Linked DNA regions of Cricetulus griseus. The protein of the gene in region 4 purifies or fractionates together with the protein of the main gene of each other region. This does not show direct contact. Links are inferred from orthologs where the notes say so. Each region holds a gene or a part of one and is shown on either strand. Other genes may lie near its edges. The genes, in order: Dvl2, Vopp1, Wbp2 and Wwox.

The links.
Region 1: the proteins of Wwox (region 4) and Dvl2 purify together in Homo sapiens (affinity purification with mass spectrometry; 4 studies listed by BioGRID and IntAct, counting the BioPlex papers as one, with this or other methods). This does not show direct contact. The link is inferred for Cricetulus griseus from reciprocal best matches to the Homo sapiens genes WWOX and DVL2.
Region 2: the proteins of Wwox (region 4) and Vopp1 purify together in Homo sapiens (affinity purification with mass spectrometry; 3 studies listed by BioGRID and IntAct, with this or other methods). This does not show direct contact. The link is inferred for Cricetulus griseus from reciprocal best matches to the Homo sapiens genes WWOX and VOPP1.
Region 3: the proteins of Wwox (region 4) and Wbp2 purify together in Homo sapiens (affinity purification with mass spectrometry; 3 studies listed by BioGRID and IntAct, with this or other methods). This does not show direct contact. The link is inferred for Cricetulus griseus from reciprocal best matches to the Homo sapiens genes WWOX and WBP2.

Annotation. Positions count from the first base shown.
Region 1 is NC_048600.1:83,846,347-83,850,903, forward strand, and holds the start of Dvl2 (segment polarity protein dishevelled homolog DVL-2), read left to right. Parts: upstream 1-1,664; coding exon 1,665-1,858; intron 1,859-4,557. Other genes in the region: Phf23 (PHD finger protein 23), read left to right, coding at 87-301.
Region 2 is NC_048601.1:83,977,965-83,982,694, forward strand, and holds the start of Vopp1 (vesicular, overexpressed in cancer, prosurvival protein 1), read right to left. Parts: upstream 3,233-4,730; 5' UTR 3,165-3,232; coding exon 3,111-3,164; intron 1-3,110. UniProt on the Homo sapiens protein: Increases the transcriptional activity of NFKB1 by facilitating its nuclear translocation, DNA-binding and associated apoptotic response, when overexpressed. May sequester WWOX in lysosomal vesicles and thereby regulate WWOX role as tumor suppressor.
Region 3 is NC_048600.1:128,670,192-128,674,800, forward strand, and holds the start of Wbp2 (WW domain-binding protein 2), read right to left. Parts: upstream 2,881-4,609; 5' UTR 2,782-2,880; coding exon 2,723-2,781; intron 1-2,722. UniProt on the Homo sapiens protein: Acts as a transcriptional coactivator of estrogen and progesterone receptors (ESR1 and PGR) upon hormone activation. In presence of estrogen, binds to ESR1-responsive promoters. Synergizes with YAP1 to enhance PGR activity.
Region 4 is NC_048596.1:191,027,372-191,031,960, reverse strand, and holds the start of Wwox (WW domain-containing oxidoreductase), read right to left. Parts: upstream 3,221-4,589; 5' UTR 3,110-3,220; coding exon 3,003-3,109; intron 1-3,002. UniProt on the Homo sapiens protein: Putative oxidoreductase. Acts as a tumor suppressor and plays a role in apoptosis. Required for normal bone development. May function synergistically with p53/TP53 to control genotoxic stress-induced cell death.

The DNA.
Region 1 (4,557 bases), on a different chromosome or scaffold from region 4:
GCTGCCCAGGATGGGGAACTGGGATGATGGGTTTGGGAGATATTGTGAGCCAACCCTTAAACACTAAACAAACTTTGTCTTTCCAGGTGATGACTCATGGGATCTGATCACGTGTTACTGCAGAAAGCCCTTTGCTGGGCGGCCCATGATCGAGTGCAGCCTGTGTGGGACGTGGATCCACCTCTCCTGTGCTAAGATAAAGAAGACCAATGTTCCTGACTTCTTTTATTGCCAGAAATGCAAGGAACTTCGGCCAGAGGCCCGGCGGTTAGGGGGTCTCCCCAAATCGGGAGAACCTTGACATCACTCTTGAGGCTGGAACTTGTGACTTTACTTGGGAACTGAGGCTCAGAGTCTTCAGCCTCTTCAAAGCAGGAATTCCCGAGGGAGACTTGTTTGGAATTGAGTGTCTTGTACGCTGTCCTTCCTGCTCCATGGACTTGAATTAGACCCATTACATCTGGGTCAGGGGAGGCTGGATCTGTAGACAAGTCTCTGTCCAGTCAACCTACCACCCTTTGACTTTCAGGGCCAGGGCTCAAACTGGGATGTAATGGGATAGTTGTCTATAAAATTGTAGTGTAAATACAGCACTCCCTCATGTTTTCTTCTCTCTCACTCCCATTTGCTTTCTTCTACACCGGTTGTTTTTAATTTTGGGCTCCCATGTTTGAGCAAAGTGGTTGCTCAAAGGCGGAGTACCATAGCTGGTGGAGTGGGGGAGAAAAGCAAAAAGGTGTCAATTATCACTAGCCTCATTTTTAATAATATTGGCTGGCTGCTTGTACAGACAGCCAGCGTGTTGTAAATAAAGCAGAGTGGGCTCTTGTGTTTTACAATCCTCGTTGTCCTATTTGGGGAGGGGACCTGGCAGATGTCTCGATGTAATTAGGGCTGAAACCGACTCTTATGATCCAGAGATATAATCCCACAATTTGGGAGGTGGAGACAATTTAGGGGCTAAGGCTGGCTTCCACTACATGAGACACTGAATCCCCCATCACCCTCTCTCACTCAAAAGTCAAATCTTGAAAGGTCTAGTTTTCAGCGTTCTCAAACCAGAAGTCGTCCTAGAGGTCCAAGTTGGTTTGCAGTTCTCGATTTACCAGTACCCTCCCACACCCCCATAGTTGCACCTGAGGTGCTTTGAGCTCTGGGCCTGGGATGGGTAAAACAGTGGGAGCCAGTTGCCAGCATTCTAAGAGTCAACGGGGTTGGCCATAGTACTTGGTGTGGGGCGGGGTACACGTTTGGGGGCGGAGTCTTCTAGGGCTGAAGACCGTTGCTCAAGGCAGCGATCACGTGAGTGTCTAGGCGGAGCTTCGCAGTCACGTGACACGAGCGGATCACGTGAGGGCAGTCGGCTGCGCAAAGTGGGCGGGCTTGTGTCACGTGGCATGGGGAGAGGTGGGCGGGGACCTCGATACTGTTCGCGACGTAGGTGGTGGTGTTGGACCTCGGCTGTGGGGTCCAGGGTTCTGGGTCTCGCTCCACGGCTCTAAGCTATCACCCTGCTGCTCCACGCCGTCCTCCTTGGGCGCGTCTCCCGCACTGGCCCTGCCCTGTCGGCGCTAGCACGTCAATTTGCGGGTGTGCGCAGGCGCGGCGGGGGCGCTTAGTCCTGTTGGGTGGGCGGCTGAGCCCGGGAGCGCGCGAGCGAGACCATGGCGGGCAGCAGCGCGGGGGGCGGTGGTGTAGGCGAGACGAAGGTGATTTACCATCTGGATGAGGAAGAGACTCCCTACCTGGTGAAGATTCCTGTCCCGGCGGAGCGCATCACCCTCGGCGATTTCAAGAGCGTTTTGCAGCGGCCCGCGGGCGCTAAGTACTTTTTCAAGTCTATGGATCAGGATTTTGGGTAAGCGTGAGGCCTAGACTGGGAAGGACGATGGATGTGCTGGAATGGATTGGGCGATTTTGAGGGGGACTGGACTGCCTTGGAATTTTTCTGGCCTGTTGTAGAACATAGCATATTGTACTATGCTAGAGTAGATCGCCCATCCCAAGACGGACAAGGTTGGACACACAGAGCTTGGGAAGAACGGGCTGGACTTCAGTAAACCAGAGGCAAGAAAATTAGGTTGGAATAATGGGGCACACTGGTTTGTTTGGCCATTCTCTCTACTTGATTTTAGCCACAAGGCTAAGAGGCGATGCTTGAGGATATTTTAGGCTGTGCTGAGATTAGATTCAACTATCTTTTGGTTGTCTGGTATGTTCTCAGACGTCTTCACAAGGATTGTATAGGAATATTCTGTAGGGTTATTTTGTTTGTTTGTTTGTTTGCTGGTTTTGATTTGGTCTTTTGTTTTGAGACAGGCCTTACTCTTTGTATCCTAGGCTGGCTCCGAACTCATGGAGTTCCTGCTTTCAGCCTTGAGAGCTGGAGTTAACAGGTGTGAGCCAATATGCTGGGCATGCAGTGTCATTATGTAGATTGAGCTATACTTAGACAATTTAGGCTATCCTGGCTTATTAATTAGGTCCCATAGTATTATTTTGAGATCTGAAATAATGCAGAGAGGTCTGTCGGGGATAGGTTGGACTGTTTTGAATAGATTTTTTTCTGGCAAAGTTTGCAACCTTCTGAACTCTACTGGGTTCTTTTTATTTTCTCTTAGGAGTAGATTCCCCTCCCCCTACGGGGGAAATTGGAGGTTTGTTTGTTTATTTTAAAGATATTTTATGTGTATGGGTGTTTTGCATGCGTGCATATTTGTGCACTACAAGCATGCAATGCCTCAGAAACCAGAAGATGGCTTGGGATCGCTTGGAACTGGAGTTATGTATATGTTATCCTCTATTTAGGTGCTGGGAATTGCACTCCAGTCCTTTGGAAGAGCAGCCAGTGCTCTTAACTGCTGAGCCAGGATTTCATCCTGTAACTAAAGCTACCTAGAGCTCACAATGTAGAACAGACTCACCTTGAATTTGTAGCAGCCCTGCCTCTATGTCTGCATCCTTCATGCTGAGGCTAGAGGTGTGTGACACTATACCTGGCCCAGACCTGGGTTTACTGTGTTACAAGATAGGAATAGGCTGGTGGAGTCCGTGCATATTGTATTGGGGTATTGCAATCAGTACTGGTGCAGACAGCTGCTTGTGTGGAGGCACTGGGGCTTTGCTAGATTAGATGGGGGTTGTTCTGGGGTAATTTGGGACATTCTGGGTGATCCTGGGCTGGAGTAGAACTCTTGAGTAAGGCAGCCTTTTGTTTTGTAGCTATTGAGACCGAGTCTTGTGTGTCCTCAGGCTCAAGGTCTGAAGATAGAGTGCATTGGATTCTGATGTTCTGAGTTGGCATAAGCAAGGATAGCAGGGTACTGGGGAGAAAAAGGTTATCTACCACCTGGGTTGGAGCAAGGCTCCTTACCTGTGGTTGGAGCACATTCCCCATTAGCTAGAACTGAACAAACTGGACTCTCACTGAAGATTTTTCGACATGGGCAGAGTGATACTATCTAGGGGGTTGTCTTGGATTTGAATCTTGGTTCTTCTTTTTGCATTATAATTTTAGGCAATCTATTTAACTTTTGTGCTTTGATTTCTTCATCTGTGGCATGATGATAATCATAGTGTAAAATACTTAATTTAGGTGCAAGCACATGGTAAATCTTGGTGGCTGGTAATTTTCATTTAGTATTGAGGCTAACTAGTTCATAGACTAGATTATAGTGATACAAAATTGCCTGCTTTGGAGGAGACTGGGCCACGCTGGGTTTGATGAGGTTGGGTTATGTTGGGAAGAGTTGTATACACTGAGCAGACCCCTGGTGACTGGGCTATGTTGTCTTGGCAGCTAATATATGAGGAATATACCTTCAAAATGTGGCATATACCCAAGGCCCCCAGAGCATATTAGGCTAGTGTTAATCAATCAAGAGGTTTTATTTTAATTTTTTCATTATTTTTATGTATATGAGTGTTTTGTCTGCATGTATGTATATCATGTGCATGCCTGGTGCCTGTGAACATTAGAAGAGACAGAGCCCAGAACTGGAGTTACAGATGGTTGTGAGCCACTATGTGGGTGCTGGAAACTAAACCTGGGGCCTTTTGGAAGAGCGATAAATGCTCTTAACCACAAGCCAACTCTCACTAAGCCAGCCCCCAGACAAGAAGTTCTAATTTGAAGGTGAGGGTGTTGTGTATGTGAAAGTAAGCCTCATGGCTCATATTTTGTCACCATGTATTTGCTAATGCTTACTAAGTATCAAGGCTGGTGCTGCACACCCAGGACACATGTTGAACAGAGTAGGTGCTAATGATTTCTTGTGGGTATTGAGAAGGAACAAGTTTAATCCGAGGCGGGAGCCTGTGGGAGGCTGGCCACCAAGGCTGGGCTTCAGGATGTTTCAGGCTGAGCAGATTGCTTAGTGAGATGAGGCAGCCAGGAAACGGGAAGCCTCTCATCCCCTCTCAGTGGGCGCTTTCCTGGTGTGGAGTGTTACTGTCACATTGAAGGGTGTTTTCACCTAGCAAAGGCCACACATTTGGATGTCTCTGGGTGTGAATTAGAACTGAAAGGCTGTGGAACAGCAGAGGAGTACACGAGTA
Region 2 (4,730 bases), on a different chromosome or scaffold from region 4:
TTCATTGACGAAAGATTGCCGGAGGGCAGAAACAGGAGATCCACTGCCACAAAACATGTTCAAAGTCAACTACAAAACAAATGTACAGTTCAAAACATCTCAAGCAGCTAAAGAAACAAAAACAAACTGTCAGTCAACAGGCAGAAGCTGAAGCCATGAAATGCCTTCCCTAATTGTTTTAATGTCCCTCACCAAGACTCTGTCTCCTCACACACACTGTAATGTCACTGCACAGTTCAGCAGGTGATACAGGACATCAAAGGCATCTAAAGTATGCAAGTAAGATATGCAAAACAGACAATTTAAGATGGAAAAGCCCAGACTAAAGCCTCACATTAAACTTGCATGGGATAAATTGCCTTGCCAGTCTTTCCTGCCCTTGCCATGTGCATGTCTTCCCTGTCCTCTCCTTCCCTCCCCTTTCCTTTCCTTTCCTTCATGTGCCTCTTCCTCCTTTCCCTTCCCCTTCCTTTTCGTGCCTTGCCTTGCCTTACTATGTATTTGGATTGCCTGATCTTGCTTCCTTTCGCCGTGCTTGCCAAACCATACGCTTGTTTTGCTAACCCTTGAGGCACACCTCTCTACCAGAAACAAGTACTGAGGATGGCCATCATGTGTAAGCGGGCTACCTAGAAAACACATGTTATCAGCACGCAGACAGTGCAGTTTGTGAAAGCACAAGAGTTCTTCCTTTGGGGTCTTTTCAATCCTTCAGAGAAGTTTTAAATTCCCTATTAAGATAAAAAGGTCCATCCAGACATGGTGACCCATCCCTGTAATGACAGCACTTGGGAGGCTAAGCCCTGGGCTACATAGGACAATTCTATCTTAAAAAGCAAACAGGGACTATGGCTGGATAGAGTACTTGTTTAGCATGTGTAAGACCTAGGTTCAGTCTCTAGCAGCTAAGAAAAAATAAATAAAACTAAATGAACCGGAAAAAAGTGCTCCCTTTGACTACCATGTTCAAGGCCCTGAGGACCTGGGTTCCATCCTCAACATTTGAAAAAAATTCCTATGCAACAAAACAGCTAACTAGATAGAACAAAACCTTCTACACTAAAGGATTAGGCACCAGACAGATGCCCAGCAGGCAGACAGACAGGTAAAAGAGGTTCTAAGTAGATTAATATACTTTTCACTAGAACGTTTGAGACAACTGATTTCCTGTTCCTTCTCCCTCACCAAGACTAGATAGTGGGCTTTTTCCTGCCTGAAAGTATTCAGTAGGCTTTCAAATCTACAACAAGGGGGGTGGGGGGAGTGAGAGCTCCTATAGTAGGAGCCAATCGGCTTCTGTTTCTTTGTCTGGATTATCCAATCTCCTGCACTAGCCAAACTGGCCAATAGGAGAAAGGGAAAACTCAACCCATTCCCAGTATAAGTTTTAGCTCTGCCAGATAAACTCTGGTTTTCAGGTCTGGATCTCCTCCCCACTGGGAGACTGTCTCTTTCTGTTCATCCTCTCTCTCTCTCTCTCTCTCTCTCTCTCTCTCTCTCTCTCTCTCTCTCTCTCTCTCTCTCCTCTCTTTCCTTCCCTCTCTCTCTCTCCCTCTATCCCTTCACTCTCCCTTCCCCTGCCCTGCATGTGTTTCTCATTGCAATAAAACTTGGCTTGTTTTTACTGCCTTCTTATTCTTTAAATCAGCAGAGGGGGGGGGGGAAGAGCCCATTCCTGCAATTCTAGACAACACCACCATAAGCAGTAGATTAAAAAGTTGAAAATAAAAACTGATGACAAACAACAATCACATCATGCTTGGGGTTACTTTGCCCCCCCCCCAAAGCTAACACAGTTTTTCCATTTCCAGGCCTTGAATGCAAAGCCCTTGACTGTTGGCATGCCTATCCAACAGTCTACGGTTCGTTTCCTCAATAAACATCATTGGAATACAAAAAGATAGAAAAAAAAAAAAAACACAAACAGCAAGAACACCCCACCTCACGGCATGCAGCATTTTAGGCTATGACACAGGAGTGGGCACATGAGAGACAAGAGAACCTAAATAATGTTATCAGGCATTGTTAAAACACACACACACACACACACACACACACACACACACACACACACACACACACGAGATTACCGAATTACAAAAGTTGGCAGAGATGTGTTAACGTAAACACATGTTTACTTTTGTAAACGTTGGCTTCTGGTTCCCTTTTCCACAGCAGTCAATGTTGAATCACCACTCAGAGATTTCGTTTTTGAAATCTGAGCAAGTGGGAAGAAAAACGAGAGGTGGCACTTCTCAAAAAACAACAACAACAACAACAAAACAAAACACTAGTAAGAAACATTTCAGAGAGAAGCAAGCAATCTTTGCTCCGTTTTGGGACTTGAAGCAAGGAGAAACTGCTCCACTAACCTTCCTTTCTAAAGAACTAAGACTTCCTTTCCCGCGAGCGTCTGAGAAGACCAGTTAAGTCTTCCCAGCACTGCTGACTCCCCAACCAAGGGCGTTTTACGGGTCTCGAAGGCAGGACCGCGACAGTCAGGGGGTGATCATTCCCCACTTACACTGCCTTTACTAATGAAAAATTCTCTCGAAATGGTGAAGCTGTGGGAGAGCGAACAAACCCCGCGTCAGAGCTTACACACCCCAAGTCCACACTCTCTTGCCTTTGAATGAACCCGCTGGCGCAGGAAGGGTGTCTGGCGTCACAGGATGTCGCTCGCGGTTCAGTCGCCGGCGGTCGCGGTCTGGCTGTGCTTCGGCGGCGCTCCCACCCACCGTCAACTTGCCGCGGCTTCCCCTCAGTACACCACCACCACCCAAGCTCCCCGAGGAATTTTCTCCCGGCCTCTAAAAGCGGGCACTTCATTTCCAAGAGCAGAAGTGTCCTCTTCCCTCCGTCCCTGCGTCCCTGCGTCCCTCCAGCCGCGGCTGGGGCCGGCCCAGGCCCCGTGAGCGCGTGTGGACACGCACAAAGGTCCCTCCCCAACCCGGGCGCAGACGGGAGGCGGCGGCGGCGCGCGGGCAGGGCCGGGGGTCCCGGCACCAGGCCCCTCCGCCACCTCGCACGGCAGATCCGCCAGCCCCGCAACGGCCCTTCCCGCGTCCCCGCTCCTCGCTCCGGAAGGCGCCGGGAGCCGGCGGCCCTACCTCCACCAGCAGCCCGAGCAGCAGCGCCGCCACCCTGCCGAGCCGGCGGCTCATGGCTCCCGCGAGGCCCGTCCGAAGCCCGGCTGCACGGCGGGCTCCGAGCCGGTCCACACCCCGGGACCGGCGTGCAGACTCCGGGGAGATCGGCCGACGCCGGCACCAGGACGCGCCGCAAGCCGGCGGAGCTCGAGGACGTGCCGGGCCCTCGCCGCGCGCGCCGACCCACCGCACGGGCGCGCGCTCGCGGGCTCGGAGCCGGCAAGGTCTGTGGGGCGCGCTGCGGGACGCGGGGACGGCGGGCGGGCCGGCCCGGTGCGAAGACTGCCAGGTGTCTCCTCTCCCGGAGGAGACCGCCTTGTCTCATCTCCATTAGTTCTGGGAATGGTTTTTAAAGGACGCCGTGTTGGGGGTGCTGGGGGATGCACACGGATGAGCCCAGCACCGGGAACGTCCTGAAGTTTTTACCCTCCGGAGACATTGTCACTGTGGTTTCTACAGGTGAGGTGGGCAGCTCACCCTGACCCAGCTTGATGGAAAGGACAGTTAAACCGCAAGGAAAGGACAGCAAAAGGTTGGCGGTGTAAGGTTTATGCCAACACCCTTTTGTCGGGCTGTGCTAGGACCTCACCTTTGGACCCCACAATGTGCATCACCTTTGAAGTAGGCCCCTTTACCTCACAATTGCTGCTGACAGCAGTGTCCACTGTCACTTGCTTCGCAGACACTGTCTTTTGTTTTTCCACAACCAGGCTCGGCTGCCACCTGATTCCAGAAATTGCTGAAGCATTGGTTGAACTTGTTAAGATATCAGACCTGCGCTGGAGGCCCAATACATAGAGGTGGACAAGAAAACAGCTCACGGAGGGAGTCTAAAGAGATCTAGTTTAAACAACTGTGATACAGGGTGCTGAGTGCAGAGATCAGGAAAATCCAGTCCTTTAGGTTCAGAGAGAGCCTTCAGCAGGGTAAAAATGCTTGCCAGGAAAGCCTGAGGAAGAGAATTCCACCCTGCAATTCTAAGACAGGAAGAATGGACTCATTGTACCTCCACATGGGCACGTGGCATATGTGCATGCCTTCATACAAGCACGTCACACACAGAAACACACACACTCAAATAATGAATTAAACTGAATATTTTGTTTAATAACGTGTTGGATAAATGACAGAACCCCCTCCAACAAGTATGGAAGGAAGAAGTTTACAAAAATAAACTCATGGGGCAAGTCTTAAATACTTTGCCAACTTTAGGTACAAGCACTTATTTGGTTAAGATAGAGAATGCACCATCAAACTATACCTGTTACAACTGGCAAGTGAAGCAGGAAAAAAATCCTCGTGGTTACCTCAAGTTCCATGTTCCATACAGTGATAGTTTCATGAAGTTTTATAGTAACAGAATAAAGAAAGACAAAAATTAAGACCTTTGGTGGAAACATTAAGTGGGTTGGTTACAGCGAAGCACGAAAGTCTCTTCTTTGGCCCTGATGATATTCTTAGCTTTCTGGTTACTAGAAGTAGTTTCTTTGGGGGAACTTTTGTGTGCACACAGGACTGACTCAAAGCCTGCAAATGGTTACTGGACTGTGGTAACTGCCTTCTTTACAAATCTTTTTTTTT
Region 3 (4,609 bases), on a different chromosome or scaffold from region 4:
AACAACAATAAACAAACAACAAAAACAAACAAAACCCTAATATATAAACATGAGTCTAATGGGACTTGGGGATGCAGCACAGTAGTATTTGCCTAGCATGGTCACAGTTCTGAGTTCTTCCCCAGCAACACACACACAGCTAATAAATAAGTAAATAATAAAAGTATAGAGTCAAAGACATGATTCTATAGTTTCATTGGATCCTCTGAAGCTGGAGACACAGGTGGTTGTGAGCCGCCTGACATTGATACGGGGAACTAAATGGGCCCTCTGGGAGATCATATTTTTGTTGTTGTTGTTGTTGTTTCTATGTGTGTGTGTTTTTTTTTTTTTAATCCAAGCTTCTTTAGCTGGAGCTGTAGAAAATGTCTGTGGATAAAGCCCTTGAGATGTGTGTATATGCATGTGTGTGTCTGTATGTGTGCGTGCGTGCGTGCGTGCGTGTGTGTGTGTGTGTGTGTGTGTGTGTGTACTTGTGTGCTCGGTTTTCTGGGAAGAGTTCACAGCCTTTATCTCTAACAGTGGTTTGTGAATTAAAGGTTAATGTTCACTAGTTTTGGGGGGGGTTGTTTTTGTTTTTTTTTTTTTTTTTTTGGTTTTTCGAGACAGGGTTTCTCTGTGTAGCTTTGGAGCCTATCCTGGCACTCGCTCTGGAGACCAGGCTGGCCTCAAACTCACAGAGATCCGCCTGCCTCTGCCTCCTGAGTGCTGGGATTAAAGGTGTGGTCACCAATGCCCAGCTTGTTCACTAGTTTAAATATCATAAGTTTGAGCACTGCACTTACATTTCAATTATTACTGACACATGTTTCAGAAGTGAGGCTGAAGTTCTTCCCAGGACCCTATTTGGTAGCAATGAGCCAGGTGCTGAGCCCAGGAGGGCAGAAATCTTCTACATAAAAGCCAGAGTAAGTGAAGGAAAACCACTCTCAAACGATGAAGCTAAACAGCTCTGGTTGTGGTGGTACATCTCTGATTTCCCTGCTCTCAAAAGCCAGAGGTCGGATTGCCTCAGGTTCAAGGCCAATCTGGATGGAAACCATAGACTGAAAACCAGAGAGAGGGGTAGTGGTGGGGACACCACTGAATGGCATCAAAGTACTTGACCAGCCAAGGTACTGGACTAAGTACACCAGAGAATAAGGTTTCTCAGATTACATGACATAAGGGTCCAAATTCTTATGTCTCCTCCTCATCCCAAATACCCTTTCTTGGTGCAAAGGTAATAGAGGACTTAGAACACAATAAAAGAGGCCAGCTCAGGTTAAAGAAGTGATCACCAGCTGGACGGTGGTGGTGCACGCCTTTAATCCCAGCACTGGGGAGGCAGAGGCAGGCAGGAGGAACTATGTGAGTTCCAGACCAGCCTGGTCTACAAAGTGAGTTCCAGGACAGGCTCCAAAGCTACACAGAGAAACTGTCTCGAAAAACTAAGAATTAAAAAATAATAATAATAAAGAAGTGATCAGCTGGGCGTTGGTGGCGCACACCTTTAATCCCAGCACTGGGGAGGCAGAGGCAGGCGGATCTCTGTGAGTTCGAGACCAGCCTGGTTCTACAAGAGCTAGTTTCAGGACAGGCTCCAAAGCCACAGAGAAACCCTGTCTCGAAAAACCAAAAAAAAAAAAAAAAAAAAAAAAAAAAAAACTTGCTGGGCTGGCCAGAACCTGCCAAGAACTATGGAGACAAAATCAGCATTTCCAGTCTGTGTCACCCCACACCTTCTCTTCTGACTCATCAAACATTCTCAAGTGACAGGTCCCAAGATGGCTTTGACTTCGACCACGCCTCCCTTGGCCTTCAAGAAGACATTCAAGCTTGCATAGCTCAGGTCAAGAGAGTCTGATTTCCAATGTCCGAGCAAGAAAGGAAAAGAGAAGCGACAGAGAGGGCCCAAAAGTTGGAGAGGAAGAGTGGATGGTGCAGTGAGGGGTAGAGAAAAAAGAATCTTGCAGTTGAGAGACTTCTACTCTGGCGAGCGACTTAAGCCCTCAGGAATCCAAGAGAACCAGGGGAGCGAGCGAGCGAGCGAGCGAGCGAGCGACACAAGGGAGACGCCTTTACAAGGCCCGCGGGCGCCAGGCACTGGGTGAGCAGATGACAGCCCCTCAGTTCCACCTCTAGGGCCTCAGCCTTTCTCTTGGAACCTGAGAAGTTCTGGAATATACGAGGAGACTGGACAGGAGTGGTTAAGCAACTGTTGGCTTTGCGGTCAAGACTCTTGCCTCAGGTCCCATCGGTCACTCACAGCCCTAAGCCAGGTTATTCGCCCTGTGTGAGCCTCGCTTGCCCTACCGGTAAACCGTGTGGGATAGTTTCTGCCGCACAAGATTAGCTGTTATCTGAGGCAGAACCGACCCACGCCGCGCCTCCTGCCGCGTAGCAACCACGTAGTAAACGCCCAACACAGAGCAATTATTCTCGGACTCCATTTGGGAGGGGGCTCGCTGGCCTCACTCAGGACCCACGTCCCCGCCGCCCCGGCTCCCCCCCCCCCCCGGCTCCCCCCGGCTCCCCGGCTCCCCGGCTCCCCCGGCTCCCCCGGCTCCCCCGGCTCCCCCCCCTCACCCACGCCCCACCCACGCCCTCCAGCCCCGCCCCCGGCCGTTACCGCCCCCTCCCCCAGCGCTCCACCACCGCCCCTCCTCACCGCACCCCACCGCCCACCACACGGCGCCCGCCTCCGCCCCCAGCCTCCAGGATCCTTCCGCCGCGTCCTCACCTCTCAGTGTTGTTGACGATCACTCCGCCACCCTCCGAGTGATTCTTGTTGAGCGCCATAGTCTCTCCTCCCACTGGGGTCCCGAGACTCGCAGCGCTCTGCGCCTGCGCCGGTCTTCGGCCCGCCTCCAGTGGCGTCGTTCGTATTACAGCCAGCCAATCATCGCTCCTGCGCGCAGGCTGACCAACCACCTGACCTCCGATGTCACGTGGCGAGAGTTTACTCCCGCTCCCCCTCCCCCAAGTCGCACCTGCATCACAAACAAGCCGCGGACTACAATTCCCAGCAGGCGATGGTTCCCTCAACCGCGACCTCTCCTTGCGTTGAGTGGTGGTTGAATTCTGGGACTTGTAGTCTTTTTTTTAACTCTAGGACAGGCTTGCTAGGTTATTTACAAAGTCTTAAACATCTGTACGCGTCTCCCAAACCGGCCTCCTCGTGTTAAGCAAACTCAATTGGAGAGATGTAACTTAAACGTGGTGACTTGGTGTGTGCCACCTTTAAACCACTTAATGAGCCGCCTTCGTCCTCGCCCATACTCTTGGCTGTGCGAGACGTAGCCCTGTCTAAGGTGGACTGGAACAGTCCCAGCAAAATACGCTTTAATCACCTCCAACCGTGACCCCGCGAGTCGGACAGTGTGAACTTCTGGGGAGAGTGATCGGCTCCCCACCGTCCTCCCCACCGTCCTCCCCGCCCCCTGCACCGGCCACCCCTGCACCGGTCCCCTGAACCGCCCCCCTGCACCGCCCCCTGCGCGGCTCCCTGCGCCGCCCCCTGCACCCTCTGGCCTCACGATGGCGCTGCGCCCTCTCAGTCTAGCTCGCTAGTCTAAACAGCAGGACTTTGAAGACCCAGGCGTGGGTGTCTGTCCACTACGTTGCAGAGAATCTGAACTCCATCTGAGGTGGCTCTTTCGCGGGCCGGGAAGGACTGCGGGACGTCCTCACTATCCCTAGATCTGGGGGATCAGGGTTTGGTCCCAAGCAGACAGCATAGCGGTTCACATCCCAGCATTTGGGAGGCTGAGGCAGGAAGCTGCGGCAAATTGGAGGTCAGCTTGGGTTGCATAAGGATTTCCAGTCCAGCCTCAGCTATTGTAAGACGCTGTCTTTAAAAAAAAAAAGTGGTGGTGGTGTAGCGTGTGTGCGTGTGCGTGTGTGTGCGTGTGCGTGTGTGTGAATAGATGGCTCAGCAGCTGAGAAGGAGGGGTCCCGAGATTGCTTTCCAGCACTGAGGTCAGGCGCTGACGTCTCTGGCCTTCTCATGCATCATATATATATATATATCATAGATGTGCACACATACACATCATTAAAAACTAATGAAAACACATTTTAAAAATGTTTATTTCCACTTTATGTATGTAACGGGTTGTCTGCATGCATGCATGTGTACTACAGTGTGTACAGGAGCCGCAGGAGGACACAGGAGGGTGTCACATCTCTTGGAGCTGCAGATCCAGATGGTTATAAACTGTTTGTATGGGTGCTGGCAACCAAATTCGTGTCTTTTGCAAGGACAAGTTATCTTGGCTGCTGAGCCACCTTTCTGGTCCCATAAAGTAAGTCTTCTTTTAAAAAAAGTAAAATCCAACTCTATACGGTAATATACAGAATGTTGAAGAAATACACTTTTATTTGCATAAAAATAAGATACTGATAGTCTTCAGGCAGGAATTGCAGCACTATCCCTTTGAGACACAGTTTTGGGAATTTCGGGGTGACTCAGTGCAAGGAGTCTTTTGCATTCTTTAGTTTTTTTTTTTTTTTCTGGGTACACTCTCATAAAAGTCAAATAGCGCTGGGCAGTGGTGGCGCACGCCTTTGATCCCAGCACTTGGGAGGCAGAGGCAGGAGGATCTCTGTGAGTTCGAGACCAGCCTGG
Region 4 (4,589 bases):
ATTACTTTATTATCAATTGACAAGATGCCTATTTGAGATGCCAAGAACCAAAACCAGTGGTAAGTACAGGTGGTTGGAACAGCATAGTCTAATAAGGTCTCTAAAACAGAGAAAGACTCTGCACATAGAGGTCCAAGTAGGAGCAGCAAATATTGGATCATAGATACGCCTGTACCCCTGAACCTCCTGCTCATGCAATCCACTTCTCCAGAGCCACTCATTCCTTCTAAAGACACAAACTCAGTGTCACACTCAGGCTCCAGAGTCTAACAAAAGGGTCCCATGTCCTCAGTGAAGCACAGAGGGCCTCTGCAAACTGATTCCTTCCTCAACAGTCTCAGGCTTTACAACCTTGCACCACAGACAGAGGCCTGCCTAGGGTCCCTCTTCCTCCTGTCCCTTCCACCTGTCTTACTTCTAGCCACATTGACCCACCTTCTACCTGTGCTCTGAGACACAGGCCAAGTGACACCTCTCCTAGACAGCCTCCCTCACCCATTCACACACACACACACACACACACACACACACACACACACACACACACACACACACACACACCTCATGCTGGACAGACTATGCACTCTATCTAATTACAAGTCATCTGCCTGGTTTTACAGAGCTCCTCAATTAGTTGGACATCACCAGTGCCCACCAAGGGACCTGGCTCTTCAGGGCTCTATGCTCTTGAATTAATGAACTCACCAGTTTTTCCATTTTCTGTTTCTTCCTACCTGGCTACCAGGGGCAGCAGTGATCCGTACCCTTCCCTTCAGTAGCTGAAAATCTTATGGGGAGTTTGTAACCTATCAATGGAGAGACTCCAGGGCACAAACTAAGCCTTAATTTGATAAGCCAGGAACCAGGTAGGGTGGTACAAACATGTGGTTCCATATCTGGAGGCAAGAGGCAACAGGATCAGAAATTTAATGTCATCCCTGTCTACATAAAGAATTCTAGGCAAGTGTGAGTTACAAAACACTGCTGGACAAACAAAACTGTATCACTATGCCACTAATCCCAGAGGACAGAGGATTTCTGTGAGTTTAAAGCCAGTATGGTCTACATATTTTTTAAATTAATTAAATATTTAAAACTAAAAATACAAATTATAGGTGTTATTACAATAATTTGTTTCCTAGCACTGTGAAAAGACTGAATCTCCTAGATTTTAAAAACATAAAGGTAGGTGTGTTCGTATACACTTGTTGACCTCAGGAAGTAGAGAAAGGAGAATCAGAAGCTCAACCTCAAACGCATATCAAGTTAATTAAGGCCAGCCTGGACTACATGTGACCCTGGTTTAAAAACATATTTCACAAACACATAAGAAAGTAGAGGGGGAAGTTTTGAGAAGAGGGAGAAAATCGGGGGGCGGGGGATGGACCAAAACAGAGTAATGGGGGACCCTGAACACTAGGAAAGTACACAGTATACATATGATAAAGAATGCCATAAAACCCGGGGAATAGGAGGTAGGCAGTCTCCTGGGTAGGCTGGCAGATAGGGAGAGCGGCCTACGTAACAAAGGTGTGGACTTCCAAAGGCCAGCTTCTTCCTCACCATCCTTAATGAGACAAAAGCCTGACATCTTAAAACAAAGGCCTTGTGTGATTTTTCCTGCCAGCAGGCCCCTGCTCAACAAGTTCAAGTCCAAATCAGGGCATGTTACCCAACAGCTGTGGGTCAATCAACCATCTTATCTTTCTTCAAACTGGCCAACTCTTATGTTAGAGAAGGAAAAATTTCAAAGACAAGAAAGAGGGGGGGTAGAGAAATGGGGAGGGAGGGATGGAGGGAGGGAGGGAGGGAGGAAGGCAGGAGAGGGAGGGAGGGAGGGAGGGAGGGAGGGAGGGAGGAAACCCTCAAAAAGAAGCTGTATTTTTTGGCTTCCAGAACCCCCCCTCATAGTCTGTCTTGCAGAGGGTCAGTTTATCTGCTGTGTGAAAGTGTTCCCCTGCTCCCAGCCCTCAATAGATGCTTTTCAATTAATGATTCGGCCTTCTGCTGTTGGAGGTATTGGAGATTTCTCCATTACCACCTGTTGTGTTGGAGATTTTTCCTGCTTTTTAATTCTTTAGCTGGCAGAGATGAACCCAATCAAGACCCCTAACTGTATCAAAACCCATGACTTTGTACATCAAATACGTACTTGTTAAAAATGAGCAGATTCGCCCCAACTATAGAATCAGCTGCAATAGGTTCTCTATAGAAACTCAGTGTATGTATATAAGACACTACCCAGATACTAGGGGTGGAGGATCTGGGTCACCCAGGCCTACACACACGGTGAGACCCTGTAAAGACAGGTGGATCTGTGAAAGTTCGAGGTCAGCCTGGTCTATTTAAGCTAGTTGCAGGCCAGCCAGGTTTCCTGTCTCAGAAAAAAAGGATGGGAGTAGGAGGAAGGAGACCACATACGTAATTCCAACATCAGGCCTAAGCAACTCTTGCCAGAGATACAGTCCAACTAATGCCGGCACAACGGGAGATCTACAACCCACAAGCCTCTCCACTGAGTGCCTTATGCAAAGCACTGAACTCATTCTTGTGTCAACTCATTTTACTGACGGGAAAACAGACTATCAGTCCTGGCCGTCAGTGGCCCGAGGTCACGATTAGTAATTAGAAAGGCTCTGCTGCAGTTTCCAAATCTTCCCTGGGAAACCACTGTGAGCCACCCAGGACCTCTGTTTAAAAATACAGACTGCTGGGTCTCCAACCCGGGTCCCCTTGGCGGGAACTGGGTATTGAAGTTTGCTCCATTTCCTCCTTAGTAAAGACCCATGAGCCATCAACGCACAGTGCAGTGCCACCTAATGAGCAGCAGGGGGCGTGCTGCAGGGGGCCAGGTGACCTGGTCTTGACCCTGAGCCCATAAGGATGGGGAACCCGGGACAGGTGGCTGGCAATCTGGATGCGCATGCCCACCGGGCTGGACAGCACAGGATCCAGGCCTCCTAGGGCACGGGCCCCCGCGAGCGCCGCTCCAGGCCGCTTACTTGGCGTAGTATACCCAGCCGTCCTTGGTGGTTCTCTCCTCCCAGCCCGGAGGCAGCTCATCCTCACTGTCCGTGTCGTCCAGGCCGGCGTAGCGGAGAGCTGCCATGGTGGAGATACAAGTATTCACCGGGTCACCTCAGCAACTCACTCTACCTTCAACCGCGCCGCGCGCATCAGGGGCCCCCTCCCCCCGACCGCACGCGCCTGCGCACTGCTCCACCAGCCGATCCGCAGCTGCAATCCAGTTTCCTATTTTCGCGGCGACTGGCGGGAAAAGGGGCGGAGCCTGAGGAGAGAGGTGGTGGAAGCTCAGAAGAGACCAAAGGGCCCTGCGGCTGGAAGGAAAGACAGGAACGGCTCAGAAACTGGAATAAGCTTCTTTACCCTCCTGAAAGGGGCGTGCTCACCCATTCACGTCTCTGGACTCCGCCCGTTGCTGGGCGACCCGAAATCACTTCCTCATTGTTTTACCCAATCTTGAATGAGTCCCAGCCATGGGGTATCTTGGGAAATGTAGTCCAGGCTCAACGGGGCTTTAAAGTACAGCAAAAAAGAAAGGGTTCTGATGAGGTTGTCCTGGGCTCCAGGTTCTTCGCTTGCAGGTGTGTATGCTCAGTCAACATTGAGACTCGATACTGTGACTTTGTCATATACAAAATTTATGCTGGAGAACCGCTCAAATTTTGAAAAGGAAAAAGAAAAATCTCACAATATTTGAAGTTTACTATTTTTGTATTGGGCCGTGTTTAGTATTATCCTGGGCCACATGCTGACATGAACCTCAGGATGGACACACCTGTGAGAGTAAATATCCGACGTAATACTATCAGGGTTTTTCCATTCACAAGTTTCATTGTGCTTGTAAACTCGACATTTTAAAAACTATCTATACTGTACAGAACTTAAAAATACAAGGTCTAGACACCTGCAGTAGCTCACGCCTATAATCCCAGAATTTGGGAGGCTAAAACAGAAGGATTACACAAGTCTGACACCAGCCTATACTATAAAAGGAGGCAATGTCTCCAAAGATACAAAAAGTACAAATTCTCATTTCTCTAGATTTTCCATTAGAGAGAATGGTCTTCCAAGCATGATGGGCTTCTCTCATTCATAGGCACTACCTAATTACAAACTCACAAAGTAGGCTTTTAAAGAACTTGACAGGAATCCTGTCTATATCCTCAACCCAAATCCTACCCTTCAGCTTGTCCTTGCTGAAGGAAGTTTCCCAAACATGCCCTACTGATAACTTGTTTCCCAAGGCTGTGTGACAGAGAAAACTTCTGGACCAGGACTGAGAGAATACCTGCTTCTATAAAAAGACTGCATATTTTATGGGTGAGTTAGGGATACTGACAGTGTTGCTTTTGTCTTCAGGTCCTAAAAATGATCATTGCTGTGAGATAGCTCCTCCCTCTCCATAGTCTTTAGGGGCAGACACACTTCCCTGAACATAATACAGTGAAAAGCTAACTTACTGAAAACAACATTTAGGGTCTTTTTTTCCCCTCCATATGTGTATGTGTGTGAAGTGTACATGTGTATGTGGACACGCATGTGCACAGGCTTGAGGAGGCCTGACG